Linked DNA regions of Xenopus tropicalis. Each later gene encodes a partner of the first gene's protein in a complex. Links are inferred from orthologs where the notes say so. Each region holds a gene or a part of one and is shown in the gene's direction. Other genes may lie near its edges.

Region 1 (3,823 bases):
GTCTACCCGCTTTTCCTTTAATTTAGTCCTGCTTTCCTTCCATGTGATTTGTCTGTGTATTGTTAATATAATATAATATTTTTTTTTATATAGCTTGGGGTTCAATATTATCCTCTTTGGCCTTGGCTCCAAACAAAACTTGATTGAGAAGTTTCGTACATCTCTGCTTCAGGATTCCCTTAATATCGTTGTTAATGGATTTTTCCCTAGTATTACAGTGAAATCTGTAAGTGGGCATTTTAATAAATGCATTCTTGTTGATTACACTAAATCATATTATTCGCACAAGTCATTTGTCTAGTCACAGGTGTTCCAATGTACAGTTTGACTATTGAGGAGTTACTGTACTGAGGGACTTGCTATAAATATGTATTATTAGTAATAATTATCACAATTTAGGCTGACAGGGGAAATTAAAAATTTGAAAGTCAATTCAGACAAATCACTCATCGAGCATCAGACTGAGTCTTTAAGAGCATGGCAGGAAACCTTACATGGCCCAAAGAAAGAAAATAGGAAGAAGGAACAAGAGTATGGCATGAGAGTTAAAATTACTTGATAGGAGAATTAGAGGCTTAGACACATGTGATATATATATAGTGGGTTTTATATAGTGAATTTGGGTGTTTATACTGTATAGACAGATTTATTTGTTTTAAAATAGATTTTTTATTCATTTAAAATGAGTCATTGTTCATTGAAAATGGAACATGCCCTTAGAGATGAGGATTTTACAGATGAATTGGTATAAGAATTTACAGAATGTATATTGTACATATACAAGGTGTTTACAGTCAGTAGTAAAAAATAAATTAAACAGTACTAAAATAAAATAAACATTTATATGCCATATCTGAGTTTGTATCTAGCCAAGGGACACAGACTTTTTCATATTTCTCTGGACTTTTTCTCTGGAATTGAATACATGAGGTGATTATAGTTGTCTTGTTTAGTGAAATAGATTGTCTACAAAGACATGCAGGCAAACCTCTGGTGGCCAATATGCCACTGCCTCTTCAGTAAGCATTCATTTGTGAGCAACTCCAAGTCATCTGGAGATCTGGGGTCTTTGTCTTTGAGATTTAATTTTTTACTACTATGGTGCAGTTGGCCAGCTAAGAAATATTAGTTTACACGAAGAAACACTAAGGGGCTGATTTACTAACCCACGAATCCGACCCGAATTGGAAAAGTTCCGACTTGGAAACGAACATTTTGCGACTTTTTCGTATTTTTTGCAATTTTTTCGGCGTCTTTACGAATTTTTCGTTACCAATACGATTTTTGCGTAAAAACGCGAGTTTTTCGTAGCCATTACGAAAGTTGCGTGAAATCGCCCGATTTTTCCGTAGCGTTAAAACTTACACGAAAAGTTGCGCCTTTTTCGTAGCGTTAAAACTTAAAAGGTGAGAAGTTTCGCTTAAGTTTTAACGCTACGAAAAAAACGCAACTTTTTGCGCAAGTTTTAACGCTACGCTATACCCATAAAGATTGTTGTGTGTTTTTGGTTTTTTAAGTGAATGGGCATGGTTTACCTAAGCCATTCTCTGATGTCCGACCAGAGAAAAGCACAGGTTTATAGTGTACTGGTTTTTTTATTTTTCTTCTATAATAAAGCAAACAGTGCACCGTATCTTTATTGTTTGTTTGAAACCATTGTGCATCACATGCAATAAAAAGGTTTGCAGAGGAGATCACACGGTTTACGCATTACTAAAGGTCCCCATACACGGTAAGATCGCCAAGCGAGCGGAAGTTAAAAAAAAAAATAATAAGATTATGTAGGCGGCAATGGGGCAGTCGGTTCGGGGACCGCATCAACGAGCCGATGCGGTCCCCGATCCGACTGGATTTTCTAACCTGGCAGATCGATATCTGCCCAATTTCAGGCCATTAATCGGTCGGCCAGCCCGCTCGTTTTCTGGGGGCCTTTAGCCACAGGCTACTTCTTCAGATCCCTTCTAAAGAAGTATCCTAAAGGCCCCCATACACGGGCCGATAGAAGCTGCCGATATCGGTCCCTTGGACCCGTAGGTGGGGATATCGGGGGAAGATCCGCTCGCTTGGTGATCTCGCCAAGCGAGCAGATCTTACCGTGTATGGGGACCTTAAGGCTGCGATCCTTAGATCCCCTCCTTTTACGTGTTGCACATGGTACTATGGCTGGTAAGTCTTCCCAATAAATTGTTTAGAGTTTGTTTTATTTTTCTGCATGAATTCTTCCTCTTCCATCTTTTCAGATTCTAAACTCCATCACAGAGGAAGCATTAGGTCATCCTGGAACATTTCGGAGCCCTTTAGATCAAATGGACTTTATTTTACAGAGATTTAAAGAAGGTAATAAGAAGTTGTTTCAGTGTAATGTAGTTATAATGTCAGCATGGTATTCTCTGGCACATATGTCAAAACATAACACACATACTCCTGAACTTACAATATATATATACAGAATCATTACTGGTCAGAAATAGATGACATGTTTTGTTTAAGTCTAGGAAGAATTGTCCCTGGTAAGGTGCGGCAACTCCCTCTTCTTAATATGCCTCAGGTGGCAAAACGTGACCAGTTACCAGAGACAGTAAGGACTGTCCTGTTAACAGGGGTGGCAAAAAGTTGTCTCTAGTAACTTTTAGAGACTAATTTCTGTTTTTTAAATGGGAAACTCTGCTCTGCGACTTCAGAGATCATAATAGCATCTTAACAGAAAAGGGGCAATAATTTGCATTAATAGCATTGGTTTATTATTTGTTTACCTTATATGGGCAATAAGTAGGTGCAAAATAGGTGAACAGAAATATTTGCGCAAGTTTTGTTAGCTTAGCCAGGCTCCAAAGCAAAAATGTTTGATATATTGTATAAAAGTTTTGTATAGGAATAAATGACTTTTCAAAGCAAATGAACCAGTTTTGTTTCAAATGACATTATATTTCAAATAGATTATATTTCTCTAATTTACAGTAGTTCCAGAAGTGATAACTTTTTACTTTTTTTCACAGATCCCTCACTAGAACTTTATCTTCTTATTCATAACCTGGACAGCCAGATGTTACGAGGGGAAAAATGTCAGCAGGTCCTTGGTCAATTGGCTTCTATTCCTAACTTTCACCTTCTTGCTTCTGTAGACCACATAAATGCTCCTCTTAGTAAGTGTTAGACTTTAAATATATTAAACTTTTTACATAAAGTCATACCTTACTGTTCAGCCAGAATTACCTAAAGTGAACATAAACTTTAAATATAGACAGGCTAGAGTATCAGTACAGGTCTATTAAAAATGCTTGGGACCAATGGTATTCCGGAGAAGGGGTCTTTCCATAATTTGGATCTTCATACCTTTAAGTCTAAGAAATCAAACAGTAATTAAACCCAATAGGATTATATTACATCCAGTAAGGATTAATTATATCTTAGTTGAGATAAAAAACAAAGCACTGTTTTATTTTTACAGATAAAAAGGAAATCAATTTTAAAAATCTGAATTATTTGATTAAAATGGAGTCTATGGGACACGGGCTTCCTGTAATTCGCAGCTTTCTGGATATCGTGTTTCCGGATAACTAAACCCAAAACTGTATCCGTATTCTAAACTCCTAAAGAAATTAAATTTTTCACTATGCAAAAATATGATTTTGATTGGAGGACCCGATTTTAAAGTGGTTTTTCACGTATAAGATAACTTTTAGTATGTTTATAGAATTATGTTATAGTTCTCAGCAAGATTTCCACTTAGAACAATTAAAATTTGTTTCAAAATAGTACTCTGTACAACATACTAAAAGTTAATTTCAAGGTAACAGCCCCTTTGATTTTTTTTTCAGTGTGG
Region 2 (4,311 bases), about 23 Mb from region 1:
TGCATTGGTCCCTCACTCACCCACCCAGGAGTAACTGCATTGGCCCCTCACTCACTCACCCAGGAGTAACTGCATTGGTCCCTCACTCACTCACTCACCCAGGAGTAACTGCATTGGTCCCTCACTCACTCACCCAGGAGTAACTGCATTGGTCCCTCACTCACTCACCCAGGAGTAACTGCATTGGTCCCTCACTCACTCACCCAGGAGTAACTGCATTGGTCCCTCACTCACCCACCCAGGAGTAACTGCATTTGTCCCTCACTCACCCACCCAGGAGTAACTGCATTGGTCCCTCACTCACTCACCCAGGAGTAACTGCATTGGTCCCTCACTCACTCACCCAGGAGTAACTGCATTGGTCCCTCACTCACCCACCCAGGAGTAACTGCATTGGTCCCTCACTCACTCACCCAGGAGTAACTGCATTGGTCCCTCACTCACTCACCCAGGAGCTACTGCATTGGTCCCTCACTCACTCACCCAGGAGTAACTGCATTGGTCCCTCACTCACTCACCCAGGAGTAACTGCATTGGTCCCTCACTCACTCACCCAGGAGTAACTGCATTGGTCCCTCACTCACTCACCCAGGAGTAACTGCATTGGTCCCTCACTCACCCACCCAGGAAGTACCGGTGTGACCCCTCACTCACCCAGGAAGTACCGGTGTGACCCCTCACTCACCCAGGAAGTACCGGTGTGACCCCTCACTCCCCCATACAGGTACAGGCCCATCACCCAGACAGGGATTGCTGCTATTACTCCCTAATGACTCGGGGGGGGGGGGTTTAACCCCTCACTTACCAGTTAGCTGCAGATGTCCCTCCAGGTTAGGGGCCCCAGGACGCACCCCGGGCGGAGCTGCACACAAGGCCATACACCAGCCCCAGGAGCCAAGTGCCCACTCACACCCACACAGGCTGCTCCCTGCGCTCCGTTCCTATTGCTCGGTGCGGCCCAGGCCCGGTAATGGCAGCCTTCTCCCCCCGGCCTCCGCACCCCGACAGCTCGGCCCGTAGCAAGCTGGGAGCCGGAGGGAATGAGGAGCGGGCCCGTCAGTGCATCCAGTCGGGGAATGGGGAGAATCCGTCCCGGAGCCTGTGTCAGCTTCCCTCTCAGCTGCTTCTGCTTCTCTGGCTTCTCAGGAGAAAGATGGGAGTGTGCCAACTGCGCATGTCCCGGGCAGGCCGGGGAGGGGGGACCCACAGTACTCCGCAGCCTGACAGGAACCGGAAACCAGCAGCACCCGGAAGTGAGGACAAGAGGAAGTTCAAGCTTGGGAATTCTGTCACCAAGGGAACTGCAGAAAGGGAGGGAGTGAGGCTGTGGGGAGTCACATGTACGGACTGGAGCTGCAAGAACAGGGGGACTTACGGGAGGGGCCGGTAGGTGTGCGGGTAGGTATGGGGCTGTGCGGGTAGGTGAGGGGCTGTGCGGGTAGGTGAGGGGCTGTGCGGGTAGGTGAGGGGCTGTGCGGGTAGGTGAGGGGCTGTGCGGGTAGGTGAGGGGCTGTGCGGGTAGGTATGGGGCTGTGCGGGTAGGTGAGGGGCTGTGCGGGTAGGTGAGGGGCTGTGCGGGTAGGTATGGGGCTGTGCGGGTAGGTATGGGGCTGTGCGGGTAGGTGAGGGGCTGTGCGGGTAGGTGAGGGCTGTGCGGGTAGGTATGGGGCTGTGCGGGTAGGTATGGGGCTGTGCGGGTAGGTGAGGGGCTGTGCGGGTAGGTATGGGGCTGTGCGGGTAGGTGAGGGGCTGTGCGGGTAGGTGAGGGGCTGTGCGGGTAGGTGAGGGGCTGTGCGGGTAGGTATGGGGCTGTGCGGGTAGGTGAGGGGCTGTGCGGGTAGGTATGGGGCTGTGCGGGTAGGTATGGGGGCTGTGCGGGTAGGTGAGGGGCTGTGCGGGTAGGTATGGGGCTGTGCGGGTAGGTGAGGGGCTGTGGCGGGTAGGTGAGGGGCTGTGCGGGTAGGTGAGGGGCTGTGCGGGTAGGTGAGGGGCTGTGCGGGTAGGTGAGGGGCTGTGGCGGGTAGGTATGGGGCTGTGCGGGTAGGTGAGGGGCTGTGCGGGTAGGTGAGGGGCTGTGCGGGTAGGTATGGGGCTGTGCGGGTAGGTATGGGGCTGTGCGGGTAGGTGAGGGGCTGTGCGGGTAGGTGAGGGGCTGTGCGGGTAGGTATGGGGCTGTGCGGGTAGGTATGGGGCTGTGCGGGTAGGTGAGGGGCTGTGCGGGTAGGTATGGGGCTGTGCGGGTAGGTGAGGGGCTGTGCGGGTAGGTGAGGGGCTGTGCGGGTAGGTGAGGGGCTGTGCGGGTAGGTGAGGGGCTGTGCGGGTAGGTGAGGGGCTGTGCGGGTAGGTATGGGGCTGTGCGGGTAGGTATGGGGCTGTGCGGGTAGGTGAGGGGCTGTGCGGGTAGGTGTGCGGGTAGGTGAGGGGCTGTGCGGGTAGGTATGGGGCTGTGCGGGTAGGTATGGGGCTGTGCGGGTAGGTATGGGGCTGTGCGGGTAGGTGAGGGGCTGTGCGGGTAGGTGAGGGGCTGTGCGGGTAGGTATGGGGCTGTGCGGGTAGGTGAGGGGCTGTGCGGGTAGGTATGGGGGCTGTGCGGGTAGGTGAGGGGCTGTGCGGGTAGGTATGGGGCTGTGCGGGTAGGTGAGGGGCTGTGCGGGTAGGTATGGGGCTGTGCGGGTAGGTGAGGGGCTGTGCGGGTAGGTATGGGGGCTGTGCGGGTAGGTGAGGGGCTGTGCGGGTAGGTATGGGGCTGTGCGGGTAGGTATGGGGCTGTGCGGGTAGGTGAGGGGCTGTGCGGGTAGGTGAGGGGCTGTGCGGGTAGGTGAGGGGCTGTGCGGGTAGGTGAGGGGCTGTGCGGGTAGGTGAGGGGCTGTGCGGGTAGGTGAGGGGCTGTGCGGGTAGGTGAGGGGCTGTGCGGGTAGGTGAGGGGCTGTGCGGGTAGGTGAGGGGCTGTGCGGGTAGGTATGGGGCTGTGCGGGTAGGTATGGGGCTGTGCGGGTAGGTGAGGGGCTGTGCGGGTAGGTATGGGGCTGTGCGGGTAGGTGAGGGGCTGTGCGGGTAGGTGAGGGCCTGTGCGGGTAGGTGAGGGGCTGTGCGGGTAGGTATGGGGCTGTGCGGGTAGGTGAGGGGCTGTGCGGGTAGGTGAGGGGCTGTGCGGGTAGGTATGGGGCTGTGCGGGTAGGTGAGGGGCTGTGCGGGTAGGTATGGGGCTGTGCGGGTAGGTATGGGCCTGTGCGGGTAGGTATGGGGCTGTGCGGGTAGGTGAGGGGCTGTGCGGGTAGGTGAGGGGCTGTGCGGGTAGGTGAGGGGCTGTGCGGGGTAGGTGAGGGGCTGTGCGGGTAGGTATGGGGCTGTGCGGGTAGGTATGGGGCTGTGCGGGTAGGTATGGGGCTGTGCGGGTAGGTGAGGGGCTGTGCGGGTAGGTGAGGGGCTGTGCGGGTAGGTGAGGGGCTGTGCGGGTAGGTGAGGGGCTGTGCGGGTAGGTGAGGGGCTGTGCGGGTAGGTGAGGGGCTGTGCGGGTAGGTGAGGGGCTGTGCGGGTAGGTGAGGGGCTGTGCGGGTAGGTGCGGGTAGGTGAGGGGCTGTGCGGGTAGGTGAGCGGGTAGGTGAGGGGCTGTGCGGGTAGGTATGGGGCTGTGCGGGTAGGTATGGGGCTGTGCGGGTAGGTATGGGGCTGTGCGGGTAGGTATGGGGCTGTGCGGGTAGGTATGGGGCTGTGCGGGTAGGTGAGGGGCTGTGCGGGTAGGTATGGGGCTGTGCGGGTAGGTGAGGGGCTGTGCGGGTAGGTGAGGGGCTGTGCGGGTAGGTATGGGGCTGTGCGGGTAGGTATGGGGCTGTGCGGGTAGGTGAGGGGCTGTGCGGGTAGGTGAGGGGCTGTGCGGGTAGGTGAGGGGCTGTGCGGGTAGGTGAGGGGCTGTGCGGGTAGGTGAGGGGCTGTGCGGGTAGGTGAGGGGCTGTGCGGGTAGGTGAGGGGCTGTGCGGGTAGGTGAGGGGCTGTGCGGGTAGGTGAGGGGCTGTGCGGGTAGGTATGGGGGCTGTGCGGGTAGGTATGGGGGCTGTGCGGGTAGGTATGGGGGCTGTGCGGGTAGGTATGGGGGGTGTGCGGGTAGGTATGGGGGGTGTGCGGGTAGGTATGGGGGGTGTGCGGGTAGGTATGGGGGGTGTGCGGGTAGGTATGGGGGGTGTGCGGGTAGGTGATGGGGTATGCGGGTAGGTGAGGGGGTATGCGAGTAGGTAAGGGGGTATACGGGTAGGTGAGGGGGTATGCGAGTAGGTAAGGGGGTATACGGGTACACATTGGGCAGAGGAGAGCAGG
Region 3 (3,823 bases), on another chromosome or scaffold:
TGATATGAAAATGGTTTTTCAACTAAAAATTAACTATGTATGTAGCTTTGCACTATTTATTTATGGAAGCCAATAGTTTCTCTTCATATATAAACCTTGTTTATATTACTTTATGCAATGTAACCAAAATGCTGGATGCAATTTATGTATTCCCCTTGTGCTTGGCCTTCCTTTGCCTTAGAGTGCAGCATGTAGTATGTTAACACAGAAAAACATTTTGGCTGTTTGTCTTTTCCTCAGGCTGCACTGAACTTCCCAAAATTCTGTGAGCCAGTGATAAAAGGAGAAGGTAGAGTTTCTTGCTTGTATTTCAGAAGCCGCTTCATAAGTTGTTTTTTTTTTTTATACCATTTTAGAGGTGTGTAAACATTTTTAATTTTTTGTTTAAAGCAAAGGAAAGTGATTCTCATAAACTGTGGAAAAATATTGAGCCACATTTGAAAAGAGCCATGCAGACTGTCTATCTCCGGGAGATATCAAGGTAAGACATTGATAACCATTTCACATTAATATAATTTTCCGCATGCCTTGGACTTGCCAGTGAGAGTGCTACACAATTAACCGGGATACAGGTAGACCAAAAGGCTATCAACCTGGATGAACATATGTCTTCTGAGTAAGACTCCCTGTGCTTAGCTTAGCTAAGCATATGCTAATTTGGATTCGGATTCAAGTTCGGATGCAGCAGAATCCATCGGGGTGGGTTCGGTGCATCCCTATTTTTTATCTGAAAAGGAAAGTTTGATGCAGCTGAATGAGTTTGTTGCAGCTGGAAAAGCCATTCTGAGCTGCATTCATAGTTCGGGTTGGGACTTGTTCCATCTGGGGCATATACTGTACAGTCCAAACATACTGGAAAAGCAGGCACTATTTTCCATCAATAAAAGATTTCAGAAGGCAGTGAATGCAATGCTACAAGGAGGCCAGCATATGGATTGATGCCTCCTTGATTCCTGCCTTCAGAACACGAACACTTATATTCTTAATAGTCACTGGTTTAAAGAGAAACTATACCCCAAACAATGTAGGTCTCTATAAAAATATATTGCATAAACCAGATCATATGTAAATAAACAATTTTCCTAAAAATATACTTTTTTAGTAGTATGTGCTATTGGGTAATCCTAAATAGAAAACTGCCATTTTAAGAATTAAGGGCTGCCTCCTGGGATCATAGGATTCACAGTGCACACAAACAAGTCAAGGCAAACATACTGCTAGGTCACATCAGCCAATGAATGGGCTTTTACTCCCACATTTCTTCCTGTTACAGTTAGAGCTGCATTATTTCCTCTCAGGTGATCTTTGAGGGGGCACACAGACCAACACAAAATGCCTCAAAGAAAGAGATGTAGAAGGGCAATATTTACTGATATATTTGTTTGGCGAGATCCTTTAATAGGTCACTTAATATGATATAAACTTTCTGTTGGTTAAGTATTCATTCTGGGGGGTATAGTGGTATCAATTTTTAGGCATGGTCATATCCCCCCTTGCCCTTCTGTGTATCAGGCAGCCGACTGACGTGATGTTGATGCACAGCTTGAGCCAGTGTGGTGCTTTTGGTGAATTTTGTTTGAATATCCATATTTTTCTGAAAGAGTTTTTATTTACTGTATGGTTTTAATTTCCACACAACTCTCTACTTTATGATAAATTGAATTCTGCAATTTAGGGGCTACAGCAATAAAGTGTTTATAAAAAGCTGTTGATTAGGTAATGTACTTTTTATTTCAGTTCGCAGTGGGAGAGAATCCAGCAAGAAGACAGAGAAGCATCCCACCTCAAAGGTATAGTCTGCACCAGAGGAATAATAACCTTTCTGATACCAAAACAAACCTGCAGTGAATTTATGGAAGTGACTGAATAAAATGGCACTAATATTTGGCTTCTTGTAGTGATGGACTTTATTCATATGTTCTGGTTCTGCAGCAGAACCTGGTGGTTAACTATGTGAACAACGACACTGTTTAAGCTTAAGGTTTGTTGATCTCTTTAAAATAACTATCCAAGTACACATTGTGTTACTGTCTTCAGCTGGCCAGTTAGGCTAGGATAATCTTTGGTGAGGTTGCCAGGAGGTGGGGAAAATGAGGCTGACCTGATTGTTTGGTGCTTACGTTAATGATCATGTCATATGGTTTGTGCAGACCTTTTAGGAGAGAACCTCATCTATGGCCCATGGTGGTCCTCCAAATATCAGTGAAGCTTTCCTTCTGGCCTTATGCATGGCAAAATTAGTTGATAAATCAGTCTTGAGAGTACGCAGGACATACTGAACGGTACATTGCCAGCTTTACTGCTTTAGCATGTCCTCAATATCTTACTGTATTTGGCTAGCTGCTATTTCTTTAGCTGTCCGGTATATCTTTTGTGACTAGATTCAGTGGCCAGATTTTTGCACAAATCTATTAAAGACATAAGCTATTTCCTTCTGGAGCCAAAAATATGAAACTTTGTTCTTCTGCACTTATTAGCCTGTTAGGGCCATGGGCCATTGGGAAGATTAATTGCCACGTTGTTAGATCTTGGCTGCCGTGGGTAACTTGTAGATTGTAAGCTCTTTTGGGCAGGGATCTCTTCACCTCCTATATTAGTTATTGGTTGCTTTATATGTTACTCTGTATGTCCAATGTATGTAATCCACCTATTTTACAGCTCTGCGGAATATGTTGGCGCTTTATAAATAAATGTTAATAATAATAACTAATATTCCAGAAGGCCTTCCCACTGGTAATTAAGTGAATTTCCGGTGGGAAGTTTCCTACAGGAGAAAGCTTCGGGCAACATCAAATAAAGAAGCACCCTGTATACCTTTCCACCAGCAATTAACTTTATTGCTGTTGAAAAGGCCTTTCAGGGAGAAAAGGTACCCACGGTAGCTGAAATAAACCACAGGCAACTAATCTCACCATAGGCCATGGCCTTAGACTGTCGTACCAGTTTGCTTCCACCGTAACAGTAATTTTGCCTTATCACTATCCATGTTTTATACTAAAAAGCCTGAAACTGTTATTTCCTCTTTAGGGTTATCTGCACATGCTCATGTAGAGTTACCTTACTATTCCAAATTCCTTCTCATCGCTGCCTATTTAGCATCCTTCAACCCTGCAAGAACAGACAAAAGGTTTTTCCTAAAGGTATTGTGTTAACTTTGCTTTCCAGCATGAGCCCTGCTTCGAGGTGGCATGAAACAGAAGTGTGTTATGGAGCAAACAATACAATACGCTTAGGTATAATAGGCAACTTACTGAGTAGCTTTGTGGAATATTTCTTTATAATGTAGCGAGGACAGAACAAGAGACAGCCCCAAGAGAAGCCTCCCCCAATACTTACCCAGCGACAGAGCTCTGGTCATCTGTATTTCCTGCTCTTTGGCTCGTCCCACTTCTCAAGCAAAGGGAAGAGCATGGATCCACAGTATAGGCACTTGACAAGTTTTTACTCTGCACTGAGTTTTTGGACAGTATATTAATTGAGCTTTGGCTCACCATTGGCTTCTGCTGTAAACGTGATTTTGTGGGTATGTAGAAATCGGTTCTCTTTATGTGGATCCAAGCAAGCACTTGCCTAAAAATGGAAGAGGAAAGCCCAGAAGTAGTAAGTTTAGAGACTCTATCACAGTTCTGTCTCTGGGTAATTTCAGTGAGGTACTGGATTCACTTACTTTGAAGATGGGTTCCTAGTGGGGCTTTAATAATAGGCCAATTCTTGATCAGAGCAGAAATGTATAGGGGGTTCAGCTTTGTGAAATTACATAGCGGCTCTACTACTTTTCGGTGTATCCGATTCCAAGCAGTTGCTTATGGATCAGACAAGCCTA
Region 4 (3,823 bases), on another chromosome or scaffold:
CTAAAGCAACAATATATGAAACATTAAATATTGGCATTTTAGAAAAGGCTGGAGGGGGAAAGTGCCTTGTCCTTTAAATATGCAGTGAGGAAATGCTTTCTCCTTCCGCTGTTATATTTGGACTAGACATGAAACACAAAAATGGAGCAGAGTATAGGAAATAGTATTTTGTAAGCAGTATCAGCAGTGACCATATGGATTGCTGCAACCCATATAAGGTTCCTCATTATGACAGCTGTGTGTTTTCATTGGGTAGGCAAGAAAGTGTCTTATACTCAGCAAAAAAAATACGGGGGGGAAGGCAGATTTAGATCTTTAGTGTGTAAAATGAGTTTGTTACACGGTCAGTGGAGAACTTTTATTAGAACCTGATGTTGGGCTGTAAGAACTGCAATGAATAACTCTCTGAAGTTTCTAAACCACCTCCCTATGTTTCTAGAAACTGTTAGAAATGAAAGAAACAAGAAGAGCTAAGAAACTCACAAAGTTTGAGATGCTCCGACAAGATGTCGTGGACTTTATAGACTGTATCGTAAGGTTTGTATCATTTTAGCTAAGTGCCTGTACTACATTAGGGTTAAGAAATAATTCACCAGCACTTTCTGACCTCTCCTCTTCAGTAGCAGCCTGATACACAGCCTGGGGGAACGGCACCCCCTTGCAAACAAAATAACCACTACATCAGGGTTGCCAACAGTCATGTCCACATTAAAACCAATGTAGTGCTTCATAATGCGTAACTCAGAGATGGTTATTGGCAACTCTCGCTTATATTTTGTTTCTCAGCATGCTGGGGTCAGGAATCTTGTTTGGTTAGGATGCTGTTCTCTAAGAGGAAATAGCAAAACAAAAAAAACTCCCCCAGCCTACTAATGTCAACATGTGATATATACTGTCATGTGCACATTTAGGTTCAGATTTGGTTTAGCATTTACAGACTGTCACTAAGGGCTCTGGCACACGGTGAGATTAGTCGCGCGCGACAAATCTCCCCGAAATGCCATCCCACCGGCATATTTGGCGCCACAATTTCCCCACAATCGCTGGTGGGATGGCATTTTGGGGAGATTAGTCGCCCGTGACACAGGAGATTTGTCGTGGGCGACTAATCTCCCCATGTGCCAGAGCCCTAAGGGGAAACTTGCCTTGAGAGGAAACTTCTGCGATTTCGGGGAAATCGTGGCGCCGTGTATGCTATGCCACCGGCCATTTACATTTTCGCCAGTGGGATGGCATTTCGGGGAGATTAGTCGCCTGTGACAATGGAGATTTATCGCGGGCGACTAATCTCACCATGTTTTAGAGCCCTAAAGGCTCTTTAACTAATCAGCAGTGTGTAAATATCTTTATTATAACAAACCTTATTGTATTTCTATGACCAAGCTGGAATGTGGCTATAAACAAGCAATATGTATTTGCCTGTGTGTTTTTTTGTGTAATTTACATTAATGGAGGACCCATTCACTCAAGCAATCAAAACTTTCTATTTTAGAGAATACCTTGTGCCCCCTGAAATGCTGCCTTTGCATGAAGTTGTATATTTTAGTGCGGCCAGCACCCTTCGCAGACACCTTAATGCTGCCCCGCGTGTTGCCCTGCACACTGCTCTCAACAACCCAGCCTCTTACTTGAAGGTGAGTTAAGTATATCTGTAATCTTTATGTCTTGTATACCTGTTCTGCACTATGATAAATGGCAATCTCATTCATGTCTATAGTGTTAAGACTAACATAATAAAATTCAAGGCCTTGTACTAGTGAGTAAAATTGCCACAATGAATAAAACCATAGCCTGTGGCAGCACTGCACTAAAGCACAATAACTACAAACAATCTTTGTTATCCCTTTCAAACAGTAAAATTTTGGTGTTCAGCATAATCCTTAGCATCTCCCAAAGCAACTCTGGTAGCTCCCACAGCACATCACTCCTCATTGCACATATATGGCAAATGCAGTTTCCAGTGCAACAATACATTTTCCACAATGCTTGTCTGCATCACATTTTTATGTTTAAGGACAACTAAAGTTTGACCTATGTCATACTTTTGAAATGTGTGTGTGCTGCACACACGTATTATGCACAATATAAATCTATTCTTATGTTCTTTTTCTTTTCCCTGCACTATTTCATATTTTCAGACATTGGAAAACGAGGCTGGATCTGTTTCCAATGTAGCACCAGATATCTGCATTGCCTACAAGTTACACCTTGAGTGCGGACGACTGATAAATCTTTATGATTGGCTAGAGGTAAGTAAGAGCAGGATTATTTTTGTTCTTTGGGAGTGGGTTTTGCTACGTCACCATATTTATTTAAGATAGAACTACTACTCATATGATATAGACACAGTAGTATTCTTTTTAACACTGGTAGAAAATGAGCCACAGACTCATTAAGGAGGGCATCTAACTATCCTCTATAATGTTATTTGCTATGTAACCTGTGTCTTTTCTCATTTTTTCAGCTTAAATGGCTGCCCCCTTGGCTACACAGCATCTGATTAATATAAATTATAGTAGTGTTGCTGAACCAAACACACCACCTTTATCAATGCAGGGCAACAGAACATTATATTCTAATTACGTTTTTAAAATAATATTTGTATTAATGTTAAAGGTAAAGTTTTTATTGCACAGGACCTTAATATAAAATATCTTTCACAATGTACTTGTGTGCCCTGCAGCACTAGACAGTGAGACATTTTGGGGGGCCTTATAAGTTATACTATGTGTACTGCGCTGGTAATTGTAGTTGTAGCATGTTGCTTTTTGTATTCAAGAGAAGGAAAAGTGCAATTTATTGAGACTATAAAAACAAGTAGAACCAGATGGCTTTCTTTCAGCTGTTCAACTCCATTTCCCAGCATGCCTTGACAGCAGAACAGCAGAAATCAAATGGGCTGCAGGTTATATACGCCTGCTATAAAAGGAAAATGAAAGCAGTGCTCTTTTCCCTTTAGTGAATGCTTTTCTAGTACATACACTGAATCTGCACTTCGCTGCTACCCAGAAGTAAATCATTTTATGCTTCATGTTCCTTATACTTGTACATCTGCTATAATACACAGCCCCATTTTATTCCTATTATCCAGTTCCTAAGTATATCTGAGACTTAGAATTCAGAGCTGCTGTTAATGTGATCTAAAACCTTCAGAAATGCTATGGCAACCGGTTCCTAGACATGCTACTCACTGTATATCAGATTACTCACTAAGGCCTTTGCTAAAGATTTTTTTGAGGGGGAATAATGCAGCTTCCATTCAAAGAGTATTTATATTATTACCATGACATAGTTAAGTAGGTAAGTAATGCTGTCAATGTGAATCAGATAAAAAAAAATGCCAGATGTCTTGTTTTACAAAAAAAAAACCCAGTAGCTACATGGTCACTAAAATCAGAGCATTACAGTAAATGCCTGCCTGTGTATTTACTGCTAAAATACATTTTCCCTTTTCTGCAGGCTTTTTCAACTGTGGTCCATGCTGGCGAGGGAAGTGACTCGGATTCAGCTCAGCAGGTTGATGAAGTTACCCAGTATCCTTTGCGTGTTTAGAAGGTTTTTAGCCATGAGCGAATGATGAGTAAATCCGTGCACTGTCCCAGCTCAGCATTGCAAGGTTTTTATCTTCTCATAGGCTGATGCTACCTTTTATTTGTATGAGCTCTCCTGGAGCATAGGATACCTTTTAAAGGAACATTAGGTATCAATGAAGCATGTGCACTATATATACATAAATCTGAAAGCCTGACTCTAAGCACCTTATCTGGTTTCCAGGCCTAGCGTAGTGCTGATATAGAAGGAAGTGCTTTATTCTTCATAGATC
Region 5 (3,823 bases), on another chromosome or scaffold:
CTTTACATCAAAAGTAACAAAAACATATTTTACATTCTGTTAAAAAAAAAAGTTGTTTGTAGATTTAGATTAATTGCTAAATTTTATATTATGTTTTTATGCACTAATAGCTGTCAGGAGTAGAGATGTAGCGAACTGTTCGCTGGCGAACTAATTCGCGCGAACATCGGGTGTTCGCAAGTCCGCAAATTCACGAACTTTTGGAGATGTTCGCCATTTTGGGTTCGCCGCGGTTTTTTTTTGCGCCACGTTTGTTTGCCTCGGTTTTTTCCGCCGCGTTTTTTCGCTTCGGTTTTTCGCCTTTGCGTATACATAGGAATAGCTTGCGTTTTTTTTTTTTTGGCGTTTTTTTTACAAAGTATTTTTCAGATAAATTTTTGCCCTTGATCCCCCTCCTGCATGCCGCTGTCCAGGTCGTGGCACCCTTTAAACAACTTTAAAATCAGTTTTCTGGCCAGAAATGGCTTTTCTAGGTTTTAAAGTTCGCCTTCCCATTGAAGTCTATGGGGTTCGCAAAGTTCGCGAATATTTGCGAGTTTTGGCGAAAGTCCGCGAACGGGTTCGTGAACATTTTTGGCGATGTTCGCTACATCCCTAGTCAGGAGTCCTCCTGTATGCAAAAAAACAAAAATACCTTTGGCAAATCTGTGAAGCAGTGAGAAGTGGCACATTTTTGGGCCCCTGGCAGTTGGGGGCCTTTACACCAGGAGGCACCTTACCCTTATAGGTACTTTATACTGGTGGAAGCACTCCATCTTATGTGAATGGAACAATAGTTGGTGAACCTGTCCCTGCAAAGTAAGATGTTGCATCTGCACAGTGTATTTGTGCTCCCATAGACTCCCTTTACTTGGAAGCTATTCAGAAACCATATCTACATTATCAAAAGAATATAATGCTTCTATATGGGGCTGACTTTGCAAGTTGAGGAATGATAAATAGATGCATTGTGAGGATTTAGCTCTTTAGGTAGAAGCGGCAGCTCCTTTCACACACATAAGAGACAGGTACACAAGCTGAATTTTGGTGTAAGTTTATTTAACACAGCAGGCTTGACAGAAATCATACAGCTGATATGCCAAATACAATCAAAAAGTAGCAGTCTCGATGAACTGAAAACTGTCCTTCCCAGGGGACGCACACAGCCACACTTGGGCAGAATAAGCCAATATAGGTAAATGCAGGTTACAGTCACAGTCTTTTGGAGTATTCCTGTGCTTTCTCAGAAGCAGCTGCACTTCAGTCCCTCAGTCCTCCTCTGTGGATAAATATTCCTCTGGCTCTCAGAGGAAAACAGTTCCCAACAGGTCCCAAACAGGATAAGTCCCACAATGCAGCTCCAGTGTCTCACTTCTCTCCTAGGAGAAAGCAGCCCAGACACTACACTTGGAGCAATTTTTAACTACAGGTGAGGCTAATCAGCCCTCACAGCTGCACAGACCCTTAGGCTGATGCCATCATCCATAGAAATAACTTGGAAAGACGCGAAGCAAACCACACAATGCGGAAATACGCTAGAAAACGCCTTAGCACGGATTTTTCAAGCGTAGGCCGAAATACGCCAGTATTTGCAAAGCAAGCTATTCCTATGTATACGCAAAGGCAGCTGCCAGACCTAGCGGAAATACGCTGCGTTTTTTGCTATTTCGCACTATTAGCACCATGGAAACGGGATTTGCTTGCGTCACCAGTACTAGGCTGAAAAACACCATAGTCAGGGGCTGTGTGGCTTGTGCGGCGTTTTTAGGCAGAGAAAAAACGCAGCGGAAAAACGCCACATGTGGCATCAGCCTTAATTTCACAGCCTTCTGTGCTACTTCATAAAGGATTCTGGGAGGGATATACTTTCCTTCTATGATTTTCCCAACCATGCTACACCATATACATTTTTTTAAAAACATAGGGCTGATTCACTAAAGTGCGTTAAAACGTGCGCTATTTATAGCATGTGTTAAAAATGTTATTGCGTCCAATTTTTCGCGTCTTTCACGATTCACTAAAAGCATACTTGCGTTAATTTAGACGCGATGCTGCTTGCGTTATTTAAGTTGTGAAGACTATTTCTATGCGGTATTTCACGGAACGCGTGCTAATCAACGCATTGCGCACAAATAGTCGCCGCGTGCGAAAAGCCATACACGCCATTACTTTTGTAAAACTACTTTTATGAAAATGACCATTTCCCTGCAAACTGGAGGCTGCATCACTCTGGGGCCAACACAGACTTAAATAAATCCCACTGCAAAGTCCATATTGTGTTGCCAAAAGCTCATGAACTGTACTTTTCTATAATTACCGCCTGCCTCAAGTAGGTGTTATTTTTTGCACAGACAAATGCGATATTTAGCGCATCTAAGTGTTTGTGAATCATGCGTTAGTATTATTTCTGCTCGCTAATTAACGCATGCGATAATACTTAAGCAAATCGCGCATTTTTTTCCGCCTCAATTTTAACGCAAAAATACATGCAATAAAACTTATCGACCTTTAGTAAATCAACCCTCATGTCTTTTATTTTTTTTACAGAGAGATACTGTGTTTTTTGTGGTGATGAAGATGGAAAGATTTGGATATATGACCTTGATTCCTGCAAAGCAGACCTACAGAGAGGCAAATTATGCAGTGTTGTTAAAGAACCCACAAAGGTATTCACCTTATCTATGTAAAGCAATATTTGGTATTTAAGATACAGACACTAGTAATAGGTGGGTAATCCCTAAACCTGTGGGCCAGACATGTTTGTGCAGAGAAATTTGCCTTGGAGCAGGCAGTGGGCTGTTATTAAAGCAAGGCCCTTCCATGTTGATGACACACTCATACCAACCTCCTCCCTTCCAGTGACAATCCATGCCAACTCTTAGGGGCACATTTATGAAAGTACGAATGAGTCCGAATACAAATAATTTGTATTTTTTCTAATTTATAGAACTGTGCATATTTTCTGCGTTATTTTCGTTAATTTGTGCAACTTTTTCATACTTTGGGACAAAATTTATGCAACAAAATCGTATTTGTCATGCAGAGTATGAAAGTTTTGGATTCATTTAAGCTTCGGTATTGTGACTTTCCTTGGGCCAGGTTGGAGCTGCAGAGTGCCATTGAGCCCTATGGGAGACTTTCCTTGGGCCGGGTTGGAGCTGCAGAGTGCCATTGAGCCCTATGGGAGACTTTCCTTGGGCCAGGTTGGAGCTGCAGAGTGCCATTGAGCCCTATGGGAGACTTTCCTTGGGCCAGGTTGGAGCTGCAGAGTGCCATTGAGCCCTATGGGAGACTTTCCTTGGGCCGGGTTGGAGCTGCAGAGTGCCATTGAGCCCTATGGGAGACTTTCCTTGGGCCGGGTTGGAGCTGCAGAGTGCCATTGAGCCCTATGGGAGACTTTCCTTGGGCCAGGTTGGAGCTGCAGAGTGCCATTGAGCCCTATGGGAGACTTTCCTTGGGCCAGGTTGGAGCTGCAGAGTGCCATTGAGTCCTATGGGAGGCTTTCAAAATCATGCACAGAAAGATCAAAGTCAGAAAGGTTTTTCCGCCATTTACAATCGTTCGGATACAAAAATTTAATGACTTTCGGATCGTACCACGATATTATCATGGCTATTACGATTTTTTCGTAAGCATTTTCGTGACCTTTCCGATCATCAGAAATTATCGTATCGTAATTATCATATTTACCAATTTCGGCATTCGAACTCTTACTTTGATGAATCTGCCCCTTGTCATCAGAGGGGTCAGGGTAGGTGCAGGTTAAAAATTTGAAAAGGGCTTCTGGGAAAGAGCAGGCATCTTTAGTAAGCAGCAGGCTAGTGTCAGATGTGTGTTGGAAATT

What was found.
Region 2: the proteins of orc2 (region 1) and orc4 are in contact, whole or in part, in a cryo-EM structure (PDB 7JPP), measured with the Homo sapiens proteins. The link is inferred for Xenopus tropicalis from reciprocal best matches to the Homo sapiens genes ORC2 and ORC4. Residues at the interface, in NP_006181.1 of Homo sapiens: Asp501, Asp504, Tyr508, Ser512, Gln518, Glu522, Val554; in NP_001177808.1 of Homo sapiens: Lys168, Asn169, Arg195, Glu200, Leu201, Lys204, Arg205.
Region 3: the proteins of orc2 (region 1) and orc5 are in contact, whole or in part, in a cryo-EM structure (PDB 7JPO), measured with the Homo sapiens proteins. The link is inferred for Xenopus tropicalis from reciprocal best matches to the Homo sapiens genes ORC2 and ORC5. Residues at the interface, in NP_006181.1 of Homo sapiens: Val240, Glu241, Tyr243, Phe244, Glu245, Ser248, Asp396, Gln398, Arg401, Gly402, Glu403, His426, Asn428, Ala429, Pro430, Leu431, Met432, Trp433, Asp434, His435, Gln438, Trp445; in NP_002544.1 of Homo sapiens: Asp324, Lys325, Phe328, Leu329, Leu359, Asp360, Arg361, Ala364, Tyr367, Ser368, Ala378, Asn379, Phe381, Ser382, Gln383, Thr385, Ser386, Thr389, Asp400, Gln401, Leu402, Asp403, Tyr407.
Region 4: the proteins of orc2 (region 1) and orc3 are in contact, whole or in part, in a cryo-EM structure (PDB 7JPO), measured with the Homo sapiens proteins. The link is inferred for Xenopus tropicalis from reciprocal best matches to the Homo sapiens genes ORC2 and ORC3. Residues at the interface, in NP_006181.1 of Homo sapiens: Leu239, Glu242, Tyr243, Ala246, His247, Asp268, Arg273, Leu276, Val279, Ser280, Phe283, Glu286, Leu287, Leu290, Lys296, Leu297, His299, Lys300, Met302, Leu303, Gln304, His306, Leu307, Phe309, Tyr314, Gly315, Leu316, Arg320, Glu324, Arg327; in NP_036513.2 of Homo sapiens: Thr3, Ser4, Ser5, Met6, Ser7, Lys8, Gly9, Cys10, Phe11, Val12, Phe13, Lys14, Pro15, Arg20, Ile22, Ile26, Tyr29, Phe30, Lys32, Tyr47, Val111, Thr112, Lys139, Asp318, Lys326, Gln329, Leu330, Leu333, Tyr337, Glu589.
Region 5: the proteins of orc2 (region 1) and lrwd1 are in contact, whole or in part, in a crystal structure (PDB 8SIU), measured with the Rattus norvegicus proteins. The link is inferred for Xenopus tropicalis from reciprocal best matches to the Homo sapiens genes ORC2 and LRWD1. Residues at the interface, in NP_001012003.1 of Rattus norvegicus: Val11, Pro12, Ser13, Val14, Gln15, Phe16, Val17, Gly18, Asp19, Val22, Leu23, Ser24, His25, Ile26, Leu27, Asp28; in XP_038945348.1 of Rattus norvegicus: Pro262, Leu263, His264, Phe265, Leu266, Gln267, Cys268, Ser270, Asn273, Ser274, Pro275, Leu320, Val321, Leu322, His323, Lys324, Tyr325, Lys326, Leu367, Val369, Gly372, Phe373, Cys374, Pro596, Pro598, Val599, Ala600, Val605, Ile630.

What each region holds. Positions count from the first base shown.
Region 1 is NC_030685.2:54,031,304-54,035,126, reverse strand, and holds part of orc2 (origin recognition complex subunit 2), read left to right. Parts: intron 1-93; coding exon 94-226; intron 227-2,240; coding exon 2,241-2,337; intron 2,338-2,996; coding exon 2,997-3,143; intron 3,144-3,818; coding exon 3,819-3,823. UniProt on the Homo sapiens protein: Component of the origin recognition complex (ORC) that binds origins of replication. DNA-binding is ATP-dependent. The specific DNA sequences that define origins of replication have not been identified yet.
Region 2 is NC_030685.2:77,214,733-77,219,043, forward strand, and holds the start of orc4 (origin recognition complex subunit 4), read left to right. Parts: upstream 1-1,296; 5' UTR 1,297-1,386; exon of another isoform or gene 1,387-1,398; intron 1,399-4,087; exon of another isoform or gene 4,088-4,101; intron 4,102-4,311. UniProt on the Homo sapiens protein: Component of the origin recognition complex (ORC) that binds origins of replication. DNA-binding is ATP-dependent. The specific DNA sequences that define origins of replication have not been identified yet.
Region 3 is NC_030682.2:120,319,702-120,323,524, reverse strand, and holds part of orc5 (origin recognition complex subunit 5), read left to right. Parts: intron 1-240; coding exon 241-289; intron 290-390; coding exon 391-481; intron 482-1,737; coding exon 1,738-1,790; intron 1,791-3,027; coding exon 3,028-3,140; intron 3,141-3,823. UniProt on the Homo sapiens protein: Component of the origin recognition complex (ORC) that binds origins of replication. DNA-binding is ATP-dependent. The specific DNA sequences that define origins of replication have not been identified yet.
Region 4 is NC_030681.2:86,911,600-86,915,422, reverse strand, and holds part of orc3 (origin recognition complex subunit 3), read left to right. Parts: intron 1-439; coding exon 440-537; intron 538-1,492; coding exon 1,493-1,634; intron 1,635-2,138; coding exon 2,139-2,249; intron 2,250-3,459; coding exon 3,460-3,533; intron 3,534-3,823. UniProt on the Homo sapiens protein: Component of the origin recognition complex (ORC) that binds origins of replication. DNA-binding is ATP-dependent. The specific DNA sequences that define origins of replication have not been identified yet.
Region 5 is NC_030678.2:46,208,303-46,212,125, reverse strand, and holds part of lrwd1 (leucine-rich repeat and WD repeat-containing protein 1), read left to right. Parts: intron 1-2,526; coding exon 2,527-2,645; intron 2,646-3,823. UniProt on the Homo sapiens protein: Required for G1/S transition. Recruits and stabilizes the origin recognition complex (ORC) onto chromatin during G1 to establish pre-replication complex (preRC) and to heterochromatic sites in post-replicated cells.